3 linked regions of the Oreochromis niloticus genome follow. The protein of the gene in region 3 purifies or fractionates together with the protein of the main gene of each other region. This does not show direct contact. Links are inferred from orthologs where the notes say so. Each region holds a gene or a part of one and is shown on either strand. Other genes may lie near its edges.

The links.
Region 1: the proteins of dyrk1ab (region 3) and rb1 purify together in Homo sapiens (affinity purification with mass spectrometry; 4 studies listed by BioGRID and IntAct, with this or other methods). This does not show direct contact. The link is inferred for Oreochromis niloticus from reciprocal best matches to the Homo sapiens genes DYRK1A and RB1.
Region 2: the proteins of dyrk1ab (region 3) and crebbpa purify together in Homo sapiens (affinity purification with mass spectrometry; 4 studies listed by BioGRID and IntAct, with this or other methods). This does not show direct contact. The link is inferred for Oreochromis niloticus from reciprocal best matches to the Homo sapiens genes DYRK1A and CREBBP.

The regions. Positions count from the first base shown.
Region 1 is NC_031975.2:11,022,682-11,029,680, forward strand, and holds the start of rb1 (retinoblastoma-associated protein), read left to right. Parts: upstream 1-3,987; 5' UTR 3,988-4,396; coding exon 4,397-4,506; intron 4,507-4,971; coding exon 4,972-5,092; intron 5,093-6,488; coding exon 6,489-6,592; intron 6,593-6,999. Other genes in the region: slc6a7 (sodium-dependent proline transporter), read left to right, coding at 1-145, 245-415. UniProt on the Homo sapiens protein: Tumor suppressor that is a key regulator of the G1/S transition of the cell cycle. The hypophosphorylated form binds transcription regulators of the E2F family, preventing transcription of E2F-responsive genes.
Region 2 is NC_031971.2:30,620,789-30,627,974, forward strand, and holds the start of crebbpa (CREB-binding protein), read right to left. Parts: upstream 3,013-7,186; 5' UTR 2,171-3,012; coding exon 2,083-2,170; intron 1-2,082. UniProt on the Homo sapiens protein: Acetylates histones, giving a specific tag for transcriptional activation. Mediates acetylation of histone H3 at 'Lys-18' and 'Lys-27' (H3K18ac and H3K27ac, respectively).
Region 3 is NC_031979.2:25,834,232-25,841,283, forward strand, and holds the start of dyrk1ab (dual-specificity tyrosine-(Y)-phosphorylation regulated kinase 1A, b), read right to left. Parts: upstream 3,023-7,052; 5' UTR 2,187-3,022; intron 2,131-2,186; exon of another isoform or gene 1,354-2,130; intron 388-1,353; 5' UTR 348-387; coding exon 318-347; intron 1-317. UniProt on the Homo sapiens protein: Dual-specificity kinase which possesses both serine/threonine and tyrosine kinase activities. Exhibits a substrate preference for proline at position P+1 and arginine at position P-3.

The sequences.
Region 1 (6,999 bases), on a different chromosome or scaffold from region 3:
GTACAGAACGTCACTCCGCTACGGCGACTATGTGTATCCACTGTGGGGTAAAGCCTTAGGTGTGTGCATGGGGGCCACCTGCTGTTTACAGATCCTCATCTGGGCTATTGTCGCCATCAGCAAAGAAACTGGAACACTGAAAGAAGTCAGTATCACCACTCATTAACGTACACTACCGTCACAGTAGCAGTCTCAAGTGGGTGTGTGATTATCTCTGGCTTTCTCTCTCTCTTTGTTTTGACAGCGTTTCCAGAAATCAATCCGACCACTAAATTCCTGGAGGCAAAATAACCTGAACAGCACAGTGAGAGCAGAGGAGCACATAGAGCCTGAGCAAGTGGATCCCCCGTACACGGTCACGCTCACCGACATGGATTTTACTGCGATGACGTGGGACGTGGGAAGCCAGGCATAAGGGAACAGAGCATTTGTGAATACACCATGATGAGCAGACTTCGCTCTAAACAGACAGAGGAATTTACTATTTTGTTATTGGCTGAGGTTCAGCTCTGGAGGCTATGGTCACTCACACTGTGTCCTGTGTCAGGGCAGTATGGATTACCTGCTATATTTATACTACTATGTACATATAAATAGATTTTTCAAATTCTTTTTCATTGCTTAGAATATAAGGTTACTGAGGTTTTAGAGGAAGCTTGGATTATCATCTTATATGTGGGATTTCATGAAAATATGTCGATGAAGATGATTTTGCAATGTATATGCTGAACTTATTTATTATTATAGTAGCACAGTGCAATGAATGTCTACTGACAGTAGCCAGCAGCTACTGTACAAGGAGGAAAAGAACTTTGTGACTGTTACCCTTCATGCCACTAATGGAACCAGAGAAGTGACCACAAATCATCATGCTTTCAGACTAAATGGCGTTGAAACACAGCTGCACTGAAGCAAGATTATTTTAAATTCCATTTTTTAAATGAATGATTGCGAAAATGATTGGTAGAATAAATACATTATTTATACAATATGTTGCCAAATGAACTATTTCTCATGGTACTGTCTGTATTTCAATGCAAGAAGACTCCTGACTCTGACCATTTGCATTTCAAATAACCAGTTCCCATAGTTCCGCAGAAAATGTAGTGTTTGCGTCATGTCTAGTGAAAACTTGTCTTTGCACATCTAAATACAACCGAGTAACAACTAAATACTAAAATAGTGCTGTAGATAGATTTCACATATATCAAAGTTGGTTATCTTTTGGGGAAAAAAAATCAAATGGCATTGTTAAAGTTGATGCTTGTTTTTTCTCTTAATTTCACTGAAACTTGAATTTGACAGTCGTTTACTGTCACTTTAATTTTTAGTTGTGTTTTTTGTTTCATTGGAGTTAAATGTAGTCTGGACAAGCTTATTGTTGGGGTTTTAAATTTGCCCCCATTTGCCACAACTTTCTGTGTGTTCTAAAGTTGATGACAGTAACATCAGAACATACAGGGTAGAAATTACATGAAGACCCTGTAGTGTGCATCTGTTTAAGAGGGCTCACAGAATCAGTCTTCTCAGATTAAGCATTTAAAGCCTGAACCATAATTGCCAAGAAAATTCTTTTAAATGTTTAAATGTTCAATTGCTTATTTAAGCTGCTTATTTCTGAAGTTGAAAACATAAATAAATAAATATAAATTTGCAGGTTTTAGTTTTAATTTGTATCATATTTGCTACATCTGGCTTTTTTTTTTTTTGCAAGCTATTGCTTAAAAATGTATTGTGCAATTTCCCCAGTTCATAAATTTTGCATTTGTAATCCCTTTCTGGATTTCAGAATTACAAAATAAATACCATCAAAAGAGGTTGGTTTTAAAAAAAAAAAATTATTTTCTTGCAGAATCGTTTCATAAACCTTTACATAAACATTTAAGAACATTTTTCGTTTCTGTTCACTTTGTTGATCTCATGTACAATGGTGTCTATATTGAATACATATTCTCATATTGAAATTGTAAAGCACTTTGAGTGTCTAGAAAAGTGCTATATAAATGCAATCCATTACTATTATTATATTAAATGAGAAACGGTTCCTTTTGCTTATTGTATATTTCTTATAGTGTCCAATTAAAAACTACTTGAAGCTATGAGATGAGTATATATATAGCCCATAACAGTTTAACTTAACCTAATGAGAAGCATTAGTGTGATCACAGAGGCCAGTGATGTGGTAGTCTGCCTCTTAACAACACACATTCATTGGCCGCTTTGTTAGGTACAGGTGTTCAACTACTTATTAGTTACCGGTATGTGGCAGCCGCTTGATGTGTTCAGGCATATAATCATGGTCAAGATGATCTGATAAGTTTAAACCACACATCAGAATGGGAAGTAAAGATGATTTAAGAGAACTGAGTGTAGTTGTTGTTGCCAGGCAGACTGGTCTCTGTTCTCCAGAAACTACTGATCTACTGGGATTTTTAGACACAAACATCTCTAGGGTTTACAGAGAACGAAAGCATGGATCCATCCTGTCTTGTTTTAATGGTTCAGCATGTAGTGGTGATGTAATGGTGTAAGGGAAATTTTCTTGGCACACTTTGAGCCCCTTAGTACCAATTAAGCAGCATTCAAGTTGTACCACAGTGTATTGCTGCTGACCTTGACCAACCCTTTATGACTACCTTAGGATAGGTTCTTCCAACAGGATGATGTGTCATATCACAAAACTAAGATAATTTCAAATTAGTTTCTTGAACATGACTGCACGTTCACTGTAGTCAAATGGCCTCCACAGTCACCAGCTCTCAATCCAATAGGGCACCTTTGATGTGGGATGTTGTGGGTGGAAGATTTGCATCGTGGCTCTGTAACAGAAAAATATGCTGCATTTGTGGGATGTTGTCATATAAATATGGTTAAAAATCTCTGAGAAATGTTTCCAGCACCTTGCTGAATCTGTGTCACAAAGTAGTAGTAGTAGTGTGCAGTACTGCAAAATTTGGTATCAATCCAATAACGAGTAAACACAGGGCCAGTATTGCAATAGATAGCAATACCAATACTTTTAACCTATAAAGACAGGCTATAAATAAAGTAGATGTGACTGTCCACACAAAAAGGTTCAGTCATTTTTCACAGTGTATGTTTGACGCATATTTTTTCATTTCCAAAAAATAACTTATATATATATTTTTTTTACACAAGTCAGTGGGTTACATACTGAACTTAACAAAGAAAGTATCAATCCTACTGCGCTAGTATCAATCCAGTACCAATACCAGCAGTGGTATCAATGCTACCAATATTTGGATCGATCAGCCCACCTCTATCACAAAGACTTAAGGCAGTTCTAAAGGCAAAAGGGGATCCAACCCTTTAGTGGCAAAGTGAACCTCATAACATGGCTGGTGAAATGTATTTCCGCATGAAAGTAGGATGCTACTAACAGACAATAGAGGTGATTGAGGGTCCTCTAACTAGGTAATATGTACTCACTGGAAAGGTTTCTTAAAAGCTTGCAGCACAAGTTATTTGTGAATTTTTGCCACGAGAGGGCAACGATTGCACACTTAGAGGTGAAGTTTTACACACTAACAGAGCTGCCAAATAAACATGTACATGTGTGCTATAATTTACACTTATCACCCGCAAGATAAAAACCAGGTGAACGGGATAATAATGGTCATCTAACTGCATTTAATGTCCTCTACCGGGAAGCCTTGACATCGTTTTTTTTTGTTTTTACATGATATTACTTTAACATATATTATTGCAGAGGCACAGCCTCCCCTCCCGAAATAGTGCAGCCTGTAAGTGCCACATAAACTAATTGAGGAACACGACAATGAGTGAATAAACGCTTCCGATATTAAGCAGAAGGTTTAAATGTTGTGGGTTGCAGGTGTATGTAAAGGGGCTATATTACTACTATTTCTGTTCCAGGCGCGTTGGAGGTCGAACAGGATGTTACGTAGACTTTTTTTCCCGCGTTTTCGAGTCCTCGGGTTGGGTTAGTTCGTTTGCGGTTTTTGTCACGTGATCCCGGCGTAACGCTACATCTGTCTGTTTGCAATGACAGACCTCTTGTCTGTGCGTGAGAAGTTATAAATCGGTTCTTTGACAGAAGTTCTGACAACACCGAGTTTAAACGGAGACTGACGATCGCAAAAACACAAATGAACAAAGTCTTGTGGACAGGTTTTTGAGCACTAACCGCCGAGTACTTGTAACACCGCTGCAGCGTCGCCAACGGCGCTTCACCGCGCAGTACGTTGATACAAAACGAGCATCCACAGATCTACAGTTGCAGGAAGTCACTGAGGTTTTGTTGTCACGGAACTCTTGAAGTGGGATTTACACTTAGTAAACAATATCAGTCGGCTTTAAAACATATTTGAGTTTTATCTATTAATTATTGGCCGTTACGTAACCGGATACCAAGATGCCACCTAAAAAACGCAATTCTGGGACGTCACAGAGCAAAGAGATGAAACCCACTGCTGAAAATGCCTCTCCAGACAAGAAGGAAAGTCCAGAGTTGTCTCTTAAGAAGTAAGAGAAGTAATGATCACCTCGCCGTCAAGTCGCAGTAGCTTCAGTTTGTGGCTTTGTAAAATAAAAAAATAAAAAAATGTTGACATTGTAGACAGATATTTTGGTCTTTCCCCCAGCTACGTTTGTCTTGCTCGCTAGCTTGTGCGACTAAACGTCAGGCTGATCTGTTAGCTGTGTCCACCGGCCTAATAACAGCGAGTTTAAAAGTATGTTTAGCCCCATACAACTGGTCAAAGAGTAACTATTCAGTAATGAATGAAATTTGAAATGTAGTCTGGGTATAGCTCTCAAACGCTGTGTTTGAGAGCTATACCCTACTATACCCTGTACCCTGCTCAGACTCTGACTGGCAGTCAGAGTACCTCATAAGACTAGACCGTTGTCTTGAGTGCAGTTGTTTTGATTTCCTGAAACCGTATTCGTGTTTTCCGTGGTTGCTAACCTCTGGTCTCCATCTTTTAGGTACGGAGACAAGGATGCTGAGTTTGTGACTCTGTGCAAGAGCCTTCATGTGACTGACCCTGTATGTGATCGAGCCTGGACGCTGTGGAAAACCGTTCAGGAGTCCGTGGATGAAGCTGCTGTACGTATTTGCACATACTGTAGTTCAGTAGTTCCACTCTACATTTATAATACTGCAGTCCTGTCGCCTGTCCTGGAAAAAGCATGAGTGGAAATCGATCATTTAAATTCCTTATCTTATACAGCAACAAATTAGAACAGTGTTTGACCCAAAGCAATACATATTGCAGGATGGAATGGTGGTGCAGTGGTTATCACTGTCACCTCACAGCAAAACAAATCCAGGCTGTATGTCCTCCTGTTTCTGGTTGGGTTCTCACTGGGGTCAGAACTGAGACACAGTCAGTTTGGTGATTCTAAACTGATTGTCTTTATGCGTTAGCCCTATGGCCTGTCAAGGGTGTTTAACTATAGCATAACCCCGCACAGTTCAGCATTATTTTATTCATTAATAACGGTTTAGTCCATATGACCCTTCTCAAGTATAGAGAAACCAGGGTGTATCCAATCTCTCCTGCAAATCAGAGCTTCTACAACAGGGGTGGGCAATTCCAGGCCCCGAGGGCCGGTGTCCCTGCAGGTTTTAGATCTCACCTTGGGTCAACACACCTGAATCACATGATTAGTTCGTTACCAGGCCTCTGGAGAACATCAGGACGTGTTGAGGAGCTAATTTAGCCATTTAAATCAGCTGTGTTGGTTCAAGGACACATGTAAAACCTGCAGGGACACCGGCCCTCGGTGCCCACCCCTGTTCTACAACACAGGTGTCGAACTCCAGGCCTCGAGGGCTGTTGTCCTGCAGGTTTTAGATGTGTCCTTGATCCAACACAGCTGATTTAAATGGCTAAATTACCTCCTTGACATGTCTTGAAGTTCTCCAGAGGCCTGGTAATGAACTTATCATTTGATTCAGGTGTGTTGACCCAGGGTGATATCTAAAACCTGCAGGACACTGGCCCTTGAGGCCTGGAGTTCGACACCTGTGTTCTACAACATTGTTGAAAGAGATCCAAAAAGAAGACAAGAAAAGGAAAGTCCACAAACATGGCAAATCACAAGCTGTGGGAAGAAGACAACACAAAGTTAGTGATAGGCATGTAAATGCATGGGGAGTGAAAGAAAGTACAATTTGTACTGTTTTGGCCATAAACCCTTTAAAAACCCTTTATGTAAGCTTTCTTTTTGCAGTACTGAGTCCAATTTTAAATCAAAGCTTACACACAATATCCACTGTGTCTTATTGGTGAAATGGGATATTAGGAGGCTAAGTATTTTTGCCTTTTAACCAGTAGCCAGGAACAGTCCAAAAAATAATAATTTAAAAAGTACCGAAAGAAATAAAGTGGAATAGCTTTATAATCCCCTTAAAAACAGTTGCTCTTCCATTCCTAACAAAAAGTGAAAAGATGTGACACGAGCATCTTCTAACATTGTTCTTTGTCATTTGGTTTCAGGACAGTCAGAAGAAGCTTTGGGGTGCTTGTCTGTTTGTGACTGTGACAGACATGGATGCCACCTGTTTCACCTTGACCCAGGTTCTGAAAGCAGTCTGTCTGAAGTAAGCGCTTGCTATGTTTTCTTGACAAAACATAACCTCACAGTCCCACTGTTGGCATGGGATATTGGTGAATGTGAAATTTTTTTGGGTAGCTGATGACTTGAGCCTTGCTTGAGTATTAGCTGCTGGGATTTTCATTCTTTGGAAATAGGAAACTTTTTTTTTCAGGGTAGCAGATGTTTTTTACTCAGCAAAAGCAGAACTTTATTTGGGATTGCTATTTGAAATAAAGTAGAAGAACTACAGGCTGTGTAAGAACATTAAACATGTATCCTCCTGCTACTTACTCCAGCTGTAGATAGATCTTTGTGTGTTCACCCTTTGATGGATGGAAAAGGAGTCCAGGTATAGGCTCCAGGTCCATTGTTCATCTCTCAGTTGGATAGTTTGTGAAACAGATTGACGGA
Region 2 (7,186 bases), on a different chromosome or scaffold from region 3:
TTTTGGATGCAGTGTATTTTCACAGAAGCCTTTCATATGTTTAAATTTAAAAAAAAAAAAAAAAAAAAAAAAAAATTAAAACCAAAACAATGGGCAAAGGGAGCAGGAAGGACACATGGGAGTCTGGTAGTACATGTTAGGCCCAGACTAATGGGTATTCTTGACCGTAAAGCCTGTAAACTTGTGAAAAATCCCCAGGGGATGTTTGGAAGTGTAACTGTTGCACAGAAAACAGATCAGGTGAAGGACCTTGATTGATACAGTGAAAAATGTAACCGCTAATGATCATTCAACAAGTTCACCAATGGAAACATTGAGATTTTTAACTACTCTAGAGAGATGCTGTTAACGTTGGGCTCCAGCTAAAATGTCATTGTGGCGTGAAGTGAACCAAACAGCAAAAATATGCACTATAAATGAAAGGTTTGTGCTTCATGTACAGCACAAGGGAGAAAAATAAGAAAGAGAGAGAGACCTTTGCAGTCAAAATAAGTTTAAAAGGGCCACTGTTTTATCCCCAACACTTTGTTTTCACTGAAACACAAAATCAGGAATTGAAATTATAAATTGGTTAATTGCCGAGCCCTAGTTTAACTGTAATTCGGGGTGCTTCTGCATGTAAAGCATACATTACTTTCTGATTATGCTGAAGATATGAAATTAACTCATTTTTGTATCTTCACACCAGGAGCAACATTTTCCCATCACAGAAACAGCGAGCGCTGCAGAAATGCAGTTCAGCTACTCCACCTTTACCACACAGTACTGCAGACAGGTTAAGAGTGCTGCAATAACTCAGGTTTTCATTAAGGGCCCATGAAGCACCTCAACAAAAACACGCAGTCAATCAGATGAAAGAAAAAGACACGTTACTCAAGGGTTTTTTTTAAGTCTCCAGATGACTTTATAATTTCAGCTATCAACTTTGGAAGAACAAGTCAAAAAGTTGATTTAAAATAAGCACTAGTCTTGTTTTATAATAAAAATGATTTTTTAGGGCCAGGTGGGAACTCACATCCCCAATCTTTGCTTTCCAATTACAAGAAATGACAGATACAAGACAGGCATTTCCTAATCACTCAAATTCCAATACTCAGAGCCACATACAGATTTCTATCTTGCATTCCTACACATTTTTTTTCAGCAGTGCCCACGTCTGCTGAGATATGTGACGTTATAACCATATCTGCACTCTCTGCAAGAATTCAATAAGTTAAAGGAAGCTAGCACCATCCAGACTGAGTGTGGCTATGTAGGCTTGCTCAGGGATGGATGGAGTGGCCATTGGGATGAGTGAGGGTTGTTTTTTTGTTGTTGTTTTATAGCCGCAAGCTGAACCAAGTGGGCACAGCTACCAAAATGGTATCTGTTAATAGTCGTTTTCTTCTCTGACACGTGATTACACACACCTAAAATCGTACCTGAAATAAATGGAAATGGATGCAAACTTCATCAGACTTAGTCTTAACAGGTGAACAAACATTGGCATTAAGTGGTATGTGATTTGTGATTTTGAAGACAATATTATTTAAGCTAATTAGGGCCTAGGTTACCTCTGTGGGTCTATCATGCCATGTGTACCTGCTGTTAATGCAATGTCAGGCTACCACAAAAAACACCACCTTGCACCTGATTCGAGAAATAATTGCCATTTTAGTCTTGTGGTTTTTCAAAGCGTTACAGTACAGCAATGCAAAGCTAATGCAACACCTCTCAAGATAGCAGAAGTTTTATTTTTGCTGCAGGTAATTTAAAGTTAGAGTTGTTGTAGCCGTGACCACTTTAGACGCTCAGGTGAGTTCTTGTGCTGATCGTATTGTGTTAAGGTTTGCTGCAGAAGTCAAGGCGACTGTACCAAGACTGGCATTTGCGTATTAAGGGTAGGTGCAGTAAATGCTCACCTCAGAATGAAACCACAACACTGCGGTAAAACCACAGTAACTGCTACCCAACCGACTGGATAACGTGTAACGTTGCATCAATGGGATCGGCTGATTTAATGCCCATTAGTAAAAGAGAAGTTTAAGTGCAAATGTTCATTACATTTGGGTTTGTGTGTGCCGACAGTATCGAGGCCTTTACCTTGTCCATCAGACGTTGACAGGGCAGGTGAATTCAGCTTCGGCCGCTTAGAGAGTGGAGGTCCGGCGTCCAGCAGGTTTTCAGCCATAGTTGAAATCTTGCCTGGCCGGTCGCTTAAGTTGATGATTCTGATTAGCTTATACGTAGAAAGTTGTTCAATCACCAAAAACCTTCCCGGTTAGCACGTTAGCAAGCTGGCAGCCTGCTAACGTTGGCTAACTGGCTAATAGCTAGCTAATTGCCTGCTACCAGCTAAAGTAACTGTTAGCGTTTAGCTACTCCTCGCCGTGAGAGTCGGTGTCTTTTAAAAGAGATGCAATAGCGCCCCGCTTCGCCACCGCCATTCACCCCATGATAATCCAACACCCAACACCCACATTATTATCGTTAAATACCCCAAAATAAAATATTCCCCATGTAAAAATCGAGCCTCACACTGACGATCCAGTTAAATCAGGTGGATTGCTGCATTCCGGGAGAAAAGTCGTAATTTCTAGATGTTCAAAGTACCCATTTTGCGTGACGTCAAATTTCTTCATGCAAAAATCGCGCGAAGCTCCACAAAAATGCACAATTGCATAAAAATGCCGTATTTTTGCAAATCTCTTCGAAAGTCACGATCTGCTCTCCGCTTGCCCACGGTAAACAATACTGCTCCCGAACGGCGACAGGGGCTGAATCACCGCACTCTGAAGGGGAAATCAGATATACGGAGCTTTTCTGCCCGACGACCACCAATCCAATTCCCGTTTTTTCGCACAAAATGTCTCCGAAGCGATATTACGATTTCGTTTTCGGCAGAAGGCCGCTGTCATACCACGGGAAGGATGCTCGATTTCTACGTAAAACCCAGTGTTGGACCGAAATCCTAATTCCGAGCCACGACAAGATGGCGGCTGTTGATTCCTTCGGTACAAAAAAGTTTTTTTTTCTTTTCCAGATCGGCTGTAGAGGGGGAGGGGCCGCGCATTCACGCCCTACGTGAAAACACCATCACCGCTGACCGCTGGGGGCGCTACAGCACAACCAGTGATTCACACATGCACTTTACAACCCACTTGATCTTATCTTTTAAGTTATTTTTGTAAACTTGGGGCAAAATATATACATTAATATATAAAAGAAATATCATTTATAAGATGTTTTAATGCAAACTTAAATATTTTACCTTATTTTTACAAACTCACGTGATTTTTTCTGGAAAAAAGAAATTAGATATAAAATGTACATTTCAAGGATCTGAATTTGCTTTAATAACTGGAAAAATATGAATCTCTGCATGATATTGGAGTTTTTTTGACTACAATAAAAATACTCAAAAGTTTTCAGTTTCTAGCCACTTATTCGTCATTTTTTAAATCATATTTTACTGTCTTTTAAATTTTGTTATCAGTTTGCAACAAATTATTAAAACATACCTTCTTGCAGTTAAAATGCACTTGGTCAATATGAACTGTGCCCCAACTTCAGTCATCAGCTGGCTGCTGATAAAGATCACAACCCTGTCTCCAATTTTGAGACCTTTTAGGTTAGGCCTAATCCTCCCTAAAACCTGTCCAATTTGTAAGTTGCCTTTTTGAGAATCTCTAAGTTGCTTCCCTCACCTCTTATTTAGTTCTACAAATGCAAAACTAAATGACAGTACAGTCTGTCATCAGTCATTATATGCACAGAAATTCAACTCTACGTAACTTTACACGTCACAGTATGCTAGACAGTCCAAGCTTTCCGCTTGGAGATTTATTTCTCTCATACTGAAAAAAAGAGGAATAAAGTCATATAACTCACACATAAGCAAACAGACACACAATAAATCAATCTGATAATATGTGTCTCTTATTCATTGTTTTTGGACAGAATCTGACACATGCACATGTATAAAAAAATCATATGTGACAAAATAACTGCATATGTACAAACACTGAGTGCTTTGTGCAAATGTGTACAGATTACTATCACGTGTTGATAAATGATACATGGGTAATGTGCACAAAACGTACATTATACATCTCATTCATGAACATTAAACAAATACATTTCAAATCAAACAACACTGTTTAAAATCTGTCCCAGTGTAACTTAAAACACATACGGGTAGAATTTACTTGCAAATTATAATGAAAAGACGTGCAGCTGACATAATTTAAAATGAGTGACAATGTGATGCTTAAGTGCTGACACTCTATGCCTTTATGTATTTCCCTTATTTCTCTGTCATAAAGCAGAATCACACTTCTGCAAAAAGAAAAGAAAGGAAAAAAAAGAGATGACTGAATGCCATGAACTTATCCTTTTTTAAACTGGAGAACTATCTTCTGCCAAAACTGAAACAAATCATTTATAAATACACTGTCAAATAAGGACAGTATTCAGGTAACCTTAAATGAGCAAAGCTTAGTGATTTGAATTTCCTGAATACTGGAAATCTATGCATAATAATTAACATATATGTAGAATGACATTGAAATGAAATAGGATGACAGTATAGTACAGAATCAAACTAAAAATAAGGAGAGGACTAGCAAAGAAGGAAACTACTCACATGCAAACAAGTCTCACTCACACACATCTCCCCCTACTGCACCCCAGGTCACATAAGTCAGCAGCGTGTAATATTTTATTCATATGTGTGTGTACAGATTAGTGCTACCGGAGAGGTTGTGTACCCATGAACCTGTGGAGTTCTTCCTACGCCACCTCAGATCTATGGCTAGTTAGTGTCACTGCTGTGCATGGTAGGGCTGCAGGCACATGGCCTGAAAATCCCATAGATCATCTAACAACGCAAGGCAACAAGACGGTGAACTTTCCTTCACAGCTGATACTCGATAGTCTCCTTTGTTTGTGTTACATTGTGTGCTATGCTTCATTAGATCTGGCAAACAAGAGCAAGTGGAGAAAATGCACAAGTAGTGTAAATCTTTCAAAAAATAATGATTCTGGGCAACAAAAGCAGGACTCTTAACTATTTCAGCGTCTGCAGTGACGGCTTCTGGAGAAACCTCTTTGGATTTTCAGGGTATTAATGCTACAACGGTTATGATAATTGATGCTATGATTAAACATAGTCCACATTCAAAAGGCACAGGCTGTGTATGTCCAGAGAGCTTAGTGAAAGAGGTAAATAAACATGTTTTGCTACAGGTCCCGACAGCTACATAACTCATCCTTCTTGTCATTCTGGCATTTTTGCATGTGGACATATTTCTGAACAGAGAAAGGCCATCTAACCCAAATGCTGACTCATTTTTAAAACATGTGGTGGTGAAAGCTGAAAATGAGTAATCTATGGATAAGGCAATAGCAAACTGTCTCCATTTCTGTCTTTTTTATATGATTGAGTTGACATAAAACTTTATATCTCTCACACACTTAGGAAATATAAGAGAGAAGCACGTGCTTTCAGGAGAAAAGACAAAGCACGAAGTGAGGAAAGAGAAACGGGAAACGAGCAAGCGATTTAATGGGAGCGCCACCACACTTTTCCAGATGGCTGGTTTGTGTCAGGAGGAAAGAACTGGAAAGCAGCACAAAAAAATATCTGGAATTTATCAAAAAAGAAACTAAACCTGCACACAATGACCATTAATTTTCTCAAATATACAATCACAATCTATCCTCAGCATAATGACAGCTTGGTAAAAAAAAAAAAAAAAGAAAGAAAAAAACTTTCTGGAAACCAAAAACTGAAAAAAAAAAATACAGTCATACTTTCAGGCACCACAAACAATCAGCTAGATTAGGCTGCACTGCACCTATAATCACTCAATTAAAGTGGCACAATTTTATTGAATCAGTAGAGGCCCCGATTGGTGAAAACACTGACAGGATCAAGGTAATAAGTCCCAATCTTTCAACAGCAAATCACAAAGATAAAGGCAGATGACAATGATCTGTTGGGTAATCTGCACGGATGGACTGACCATTGTTTAATTTTTTTTTCTTTTAGCAATGAAGGCAACGAAAAAAAAGTCACAAGATTTAAGTCTGAGGTTTTACACACAGTACTGTGGAAACTGTCACACATCCCTAAATTGACACCGACGCCAACAGCCTGTGGACCACCCCATCACTGACCAAGAACTACGCAGTGATTGTCCCTCACAGTCCCATTTAAAGTTATACTTCACCTGAAATCCTTCGAGCATCAAGCGCTCACCTCATCGGAGGACATGGTGATATTCTGTATTTGTCTTACTGACTCCAATGAAAACAAAATTAAAGCACTGGCAATACTTGCAAGTATCATACTACCTGCCAGCATTATTAGGACTCTCTTATAATTAATAATGAGTGAAATCTGTGTTGTTGGTGTGGATGTGAGTGCGGTAAATGGGAGTGCTGAATTTATGGTAGTTTGAAAGAGTGATTCTCGTATTTTGGCTATTTATCAGGATTCCAGTAGGAGCAAATGGGATAGTGGCTGTATTCAAAGACAGGCCAACACGCTGCTGGCTTCCTCTTCATTCTTTTCATTTGGTCAAAACAAAAATACAAAATATCACCAGAGAGATATTTGGTCTTCCAAGCAGCCCGCCATATAAAGGAGTGGTTCTGATCAAAGAAAAAGCTGAAATATCAGCTAGCTCGCATCGAGACAATTTTACACTACCTGTAAAATTGGACATGTGTGAGAGGTGAGCGTTTAATGCCTGAAAGACAGATCCCAGTATATTTAAAGTGCCTTCCTGCATTTGTGATGGTCTCACTTTTTAAAACCACCTTTCTTCCAGATCTATAGTCCCTTGTCTGATTAGATTTTGTGGTTTTGATTCTCTCAGCTCTGTTTAAAGTTTCTTAAAAGCTATTTATTGGTAATAACTACTGAATACAAGTGGTCGAAAAAAAGAAAAACACTGTGCAAGACCTTTGCTTAAAATGTGCATTGAGCTGCTACACGAACTAAAATCTCTGCAGCCTGCATGTCCCTTGAAAGTGAGACTCTGGCACAAATGAATACTGTATTAAGCCCTGATGTCAAAGCACAATACATAAATTAACACTGCTTCATGTGATTCCCTCATTCTTCCCAAAGTTTCCAGCTCCGCCTGTCATGCTGCATTGGCACTTATATAAAATCTAAAATCATTTTCCCTTAAGTAAG
Region 3 (7,052 bases):
ATATTTTAAATTTAAAGCACTTCAATTTGTCATGACTACTTTGTTTTACTGCTTGTTCAGTTCAGACAAAAAAACAAAAACTAAACTAATTTTAATTACTTTGAGCTCTGCAATCAAATAAGTTGCAATGAATTAAATGGTAAATACTATACTGATAATTCTTAATTATTCATCTTTACTTGACTTTTTTACCCCCTAAAGAGAGTCCTACAAATTTGTGAGTCTGAATTTAAAACAACAACAAAACTGAAAGAGAAGCTCTTAGAAGAGCACTACTTCCTCACCAAAGGGTTAAGGCTTAATATATAGCAGCTAACCTGGATGCATCTTCTCCTGTAAAATTTCATATCATCCTGGGAGGAGAGTCCAGCAGCAAACCACAACCCACTACAAAGAATAAAAACAGAATATCATCATTGTGCATCTTTGGTGGGACTTAACTTCATAGGGGTTAAACTTTTCATAAGAAGGGACAGAGAACTGCTAGAGAGCAGAAGACACCCCAAAACTTTAAGAAGCTCACTTGGGGTAGATGTGTTAATGGAGGGAGTTTACAAACAGACCTCAAATTTGAAAATTTTAAGCTACTTGTGCTTTTGTTGTAAAGATAGTTAAAACCCAGGAAATTATATATTTGAAATACTTGCATATAGCTCTTGTGAAACTTCTAAATAGTTCTATCAGAGACATTAACTAAAACAGGATTTGCATTGTTGTGGATCTAGAAGAGCACTTGACCTCCTCTCAGCATGTTCATACCGATTTTAAAAATATAATCTAAATGGGGTGAAATTAAATACACAATATATTTTATTAAAATAGCCATCTGCTACTGTGAATCCAACTGGCCTTACTGCCATTACTGTTTTGACAAAGAACTGAAAAAGTTTGGTTTGAGAGAAATTCACAAACACAATGGCAGGCATTATACTAACAAAACTAAGAGGTAAAATTGTCTTTTAATCAAAAAGACAAACCCCACAGGGAAAATATCAGCTCTATTTTAACACAAAGCCATTTTGCAAGCGCACTTGTGGCTCTTTAGTCTCCCCCTAAATGTCTGATTCTTGTTAATTTTCAGTACTGACATATGAACAGTTCCTTTCCTGGCTCTAGTCATTACGGCATCAACGGGCCTATTTAGGTGTAAATATAACGACAGCTAGCTTGCTATTAGTAGCCGTATCATATCATAAGTGATGGCTAAAGACCTCTATAACAAGTCTGCGTGTCATCTTCTCACGCCCAACTGATTAGATCCATTCCAAAGCTGAATCAAACGAAACCAACCCAAAACAATTAAAAGCCTAACGCTCATGTATAAAGACCGTCCCCGGGTAGCTCTGTACTTACAGATGATGGGGTAGCGCTCGTCATGGTTGGAATTTAGGAAGCATATTCAGTGTTAATTTGCGTCCAGTCTTGCTACATATCGTTCGTGTGTGTGACTCCCAATTCCTCGCATAAATGACAAACGTATTCAGGCTCACGTTACCGTTAGCAGTCTAACTAGCTAACGCTGTCGTCGTTAACGTTACCCTGAAAACTGCGGGACAAGCAAGCATATCTCTCACCAATCCAGTGTTAACGTTAGCTAGTGACGCTGTGTGTGCAGCCAGCGGGTTGCGGGGCCCATTCAGCTGGTTCGTCAACAAGTCAGCGTTAACCATTAGCCGAGTTAGCCGATTTAGCTACGAGGCGTTAGCCTGGTTAGCTTCCGCACTCCATTGCTGTAAAAAACAAAACTACACCTCTGCAAGTAATATAGTTAGACAGTAATTCACAACGGAAATATGAGCCAGCAGAGCAACATTTTCTTCAATCCTACAATGACACTGTGTAATATCGCAGGGCTAGCTTTAACGTTAACGCTGTGCCAGCATGACTCTTCGCCCAAACCCACACAATCCGCTGCACCCCTCTCTCTCTGGGGTTAGTCCAAAAACCAGTTCGGATGCTGTTTCTGTCTGACATTAATAATCAGTTGACCTACTGACTGAAAGCAAACGTTATAGGTGGCTCCAGCGGAGTCGGCGCCGCCACAAAACGTTAGCTAGCCGCCATACCACAAGCTACCTTTCTCAACTTCACGATCGCGTCCATCATTGTTAACCATTGACGTTACACACAACATATACATCCACGAAAGCGTTAACCTGAACGCTTTCGCATAGGCTTTTGCTCACCTCTGATGGCACGATCTTCATTTAAAGTCCAATAACCTGTATGATGAGGAAACTTATCCAGTTTGAGATTCTCCCCTCCCTGCACGGTTAGCGAGTAATGTTAACGTTAAATCCAATTCCCCCGTCCTCTGACCGGCTAAAATAATTCGCCAGTCAGGTTCATTGCGCTCTTCATGTCCCAAGCACTATTGAAAAACATCGCCTGTCGAAGAAACTCTTGACTAACGTTACTATCAGCTGATGACAAGCAACATGCTAACGTTAACTAGCACGCATAACTCACCAGCTAACCTTAGCGAGCTGGCTAGCTAGTTGACAAAATGAACGCAGCTAACATTGGCTAGCTGTAGCTTCCGTGGCTAGCCTCAAGCTAACGAATCTAGCCACCGCTAAATAAATGTTCTGCCAAATTCAGATTTTTACGCCGTCTTCGCAAATTTGGCGCCGGCCACTTCGACAAACACGAGAACACGGTTAAATCCGGAGTATTTTAAACGTGAAACGGAATCCGTGTCCTCTGGTAATTTTGGTTAGGAATTTTGTGTCAATTTTCACAAAATGGCGCGCGGTCCAAACCTGCGCAGTGAACCGGCCCGGTGGACCAGAGACACGGACAACTGAGTTAGTGCGGCGCCGCCTAATTATTTCAACTGTGTTAAAACGTCGGCCTCTTGATCTTCTTAATCCGATCCACTAGACGCATTTCGATATCCAAAAACGTCAGACATATATCCACTGACAGCATTATTCCGGCGGGAAGGGAGAACATTTGAAAAGACTGAGCTGGGGAAAAAAACCCTCCTGACAAAATGGCGATGCTCTAGCTTGTTGCCATGGCAACTGTCAATCAAAAAAAAAAAAAGGTACCCGGATGTACCAATGACGAATAAGATCTAACTGGCCCGAGTTACAGGACACACATAACTCCGTGGTGTCCCTGTCTGTCTTTTTCCACCGCGTTTGGCCTGTTGCTATCAACCAGAAGACATTCAATATTTAGCTGTATCTGTAGACGGTTAAAGTAACTGTCTAAAGATACAGCTTCGTATAGCAATATAACCACAAAGAGATTCTATATCAGCCAACACACGGGCATAACAATAACAAAAGGTTAATAACGTGTAAACGTTTTATTTCTTTAATATTTATCTTTGTTAAAAATAGTCATTATTAGACACAGTAATGATGAAATGATGAAACTGTTTAATAAAGCATACACTGCAAAAGTTTTTGGGAGTTGCTAAAATTTCTTAATTCACAAAATTGGTAAGTTAATAGGTAGAAACTTAAAAACTTTATTAATCTTTATTAATTATTAATTAAATCTGTTTGCCTCCTTCCAGTTTTTTTTTCTTTTTTCTTTTCTTTGCATGCATTCACATCTTTCAGATAAAAAAAATAAAATTAATATTGTTTTAATTCAATGGACTTTTTTCAAGCATGAGCAACTTTTTAAGGACATGCAAATTTCAATCAAATTTAGTCTTGAACTTTCAACCTGTCACTCTAAAAACCTAATTTTGTTATTTTGTATATTTCAAATCATTGTCCAGCTGCGTAACCTAAGTGCCCTTGAGCTTCATGGCACAACCTGATTGCTGGACATTCTCCTCATGGATTTTCTGCAAGAGAGCAGAATTCATGGTTCTATCAATTAGGGCAAGTCGTCCAGGGCCTGAAGGAGCATAACAGCCCCAGCCCATCACAATACTACCACCATGTTTAACTCTTCGTATGAGTGTCTTTTTTATGAAAGCCTCTGCTAGTTTTATACCAGATGAAATAGAAATCAAACCTTCCAAAAAGTTCAGCTTTTGTCTTGTCAGTAAACTAAATATTTTTTCCCAGACGTCTTGGGGATCATTAGGATGTTTTTTGGCAAATGTGAGATGAGCTTTTGTGTTCTTTTTGGTTAGCAGTGGTTTTCTTGGAACTCTCCTGTGGATGCCATTTTTGCCCAGTCTCTTCCTTACTGTTGAATTATGCACTCCAACCTTAACTGAAGCAAGTGAGGCCTGAAGTTTGTTAGATGTTGTTCTGAGTTTTTGTGATTTCTTGGATGAATCGTTGATGTGCTCTTAGAGTAATTTTGGTAGGCCAGCCACTCGTGGAAATGTTCATCACTGTTTCACATTTTCTACATTTGTGGATGATGGTTCACTGGAGTCCTAGAGCCTTAGAAATGGCTTTGTAACCCTTCCCAGACCGATAGACGCCAATGACTTCTTTGTTTCTCAGCTGTTTCTTTAGATTGCGGCATGATGTGTTGAGATCTTTCAGTCTGCTTCTCTTTGTCAAAGAAGTTCTGTTTAAGTGAAACAGGCTGATTCACTGGCAGTAATCAGGCCTGGGTGTGGCTGGTGAAACTGAACTCAGCTTTCCAAAACCAAAATGTGGTTGATCACAGTTAATTAAGGATTTAACAATGGTTGTCCACACTCCACCAGCAGCAGCTCTATGTACAGTGGAACTCAGTTTGAGAACTACTGTGGTTGACTGCATTCGATTTTTTCTCTCTGTTCCTGTTAAAGATTCACAATGAATGGTGAAACTTAATATTTTTTTCACTTCACTGCCTGATTATTGTGGCCAGACAAATTCACTATAGCAATGTTATTAATGTTGTTTTTTCTCTTATTCTCAAACTGGGGGCTGGAGAGAGTGTTCATAACCATGTAATTGCAATAAGGCATTAAAAAATGACATTATTATTTTTTATTTAAAATATTGTCATGCATGCATCATTTCATTAAAGGAAAATTAGTTATTTTTATTATTATATTATAACAACGGTGGAAGCGATGTATGCATTTTACAGTTTTTCAATTATTTAAATGGAAAAGAGTCACAATATCATATATGTTAACACGTTACCAAGGAGGAAAGACAGCAGCAACGATCTCAGAGAAATAACTAGTATGGACCAGCAGTCTGAAAAGATTATAAGGCCATTCATGAATAACTTGAAATCCATCATTCAAGGCAGTTGCCAATCTTCCCAGCGGTGGATGTTCTAGCAAATTCACCCCAAGCTCAGACTGTGCAATTCTCAGAGAAACTGCGGCTTTGTTGTTGTTTGTTTGATGTTTGGCCATAATACACAGTTCTTGGAAAACCGAACACAACATGAGCATAAAGAACAACTGTCGAGCACGGTGGCGGAGGCGTGATGGTTTGGACTAGGTTTGCAGGATTGAGTCAGCCATGAACTTCTCTGTGTACCAAAGTGTTCTAGCACCAAATGTGACCGATAAAGCTTGGCTAAAACTGGGTTAGACAGGAGAATATTCCCGAGCACAGCAGCAGGTCTAAAACACAATGGCTGAAAAATATAAGAATTAAGGTGCTGCAGTGGCCCAGTCCAAGTGGAAAGACTTTAAGAGAGCTGTGTATGAATGAATGAAGAAACACTGTAAAGAAGAGTGCAATAAAAATTCCCCCACAATGATGTGAGAGACTGATAAAGTCATACAGAAAACAGTTACTTCAAGTTAAAGTTATAGAAGTTTTTGTATCATGCGGTGAACTTAGTTTTTTTGTTTACTTTTTTATTAAGCCAAACATATACGTGTCCTGGGAGAATATTAAGCCACATCAATTGAAACTAGCACAGTAAGTTGTGGCTCATGTATGATAAAAAGAGTTTAAAACAAAGAGTATTTAGAAAGCTTTTGTTGAACATTTACATATGATGATGTACGTCAGTCAGGTCTTGAGCAGGTAACACTTGCAGGACTTGTCTGAATAATGACTACATATAACAGACAAACGCTTAAAGATTCAGACATCTCAGAGCTGGAGAAACAAGTTGAGCCAGGAAATCTCATGCTAGTGTTTTGTGTTGACCGGAATGGTCTGGGAGTTTATTCCTTACTATCATGAAATAAAGACTTTATAAAGACAGAAATATTGATTGAAGATATCTTAACAGCAAAACAACGGGACAAAAACAGACTGTGTAGTGGAATGGGCTAATTACTTACTGTAAGTGCAAACAGTGACCTTTTCTAACTGTAACTGACATTTCTCATTGTTACGCCTGTTTTGTGATATGTTTAGGCTATAGAAATAAAGCAGATTAAACTAATTTAAATTAGATTATTTAAATTCATTTTTACCGCAGAAGTTTGAAAGTTTACTTATTTATCTGTATCTGTAAGACTCATGTCATTATCACGAGTCATGCATGTGTAACATGCTTTCCAGTGTCTGTGTTTTCAACAACAGTTTGAGCAAAAGGCCACCATGACTGAGATGTCTGCAGTGATAATGAGAAGTGTTCTTAAGTACTGCAACCACAAAATAAACAAAGTTAATATAATTAACTCATGTTAAGCGCTTAACAAGAGACAAGGAGTTTGAGGCAAGGAGTTTGCACAATTTTGTAATAAAGCTCGCATATCTAATTTTATACTGGATGTTTAACTAGCATCTGGGAAACTGTAAAGTTTTACTTGCTCATTTGTTCATTTTCAGGTCAAACACTCATGTAACAGCGAAACCTATTGTCTGAAAAATGTCCCTAAAACAATATTTATCTTGACACATGTACTGCACGCAGCAGTGAATTTTACTTTAAGAGGTCGCAAGAGGTTCAATTCATTATAATGAAAGGGAAGTTGTAAACTTATGACATCTGCTGGCTGTGTGGATTCCATATTAGGAGACATACATCCAGTTGAGTGACGAAATACAAAACAGTCTCCATTCTGAATGATCAGTTCAACTGATGGTAGCGTCAAGCTTTAAACAAAGGGGCATGGGGCTGAAATAAAATTCAAGCACCAACTTGTGGCTTTTATTGTTAAAGAGCAGGACTTCACAAGCACACTAATCCCTCAGGAAACAACTGCTTTCCCTTCATAC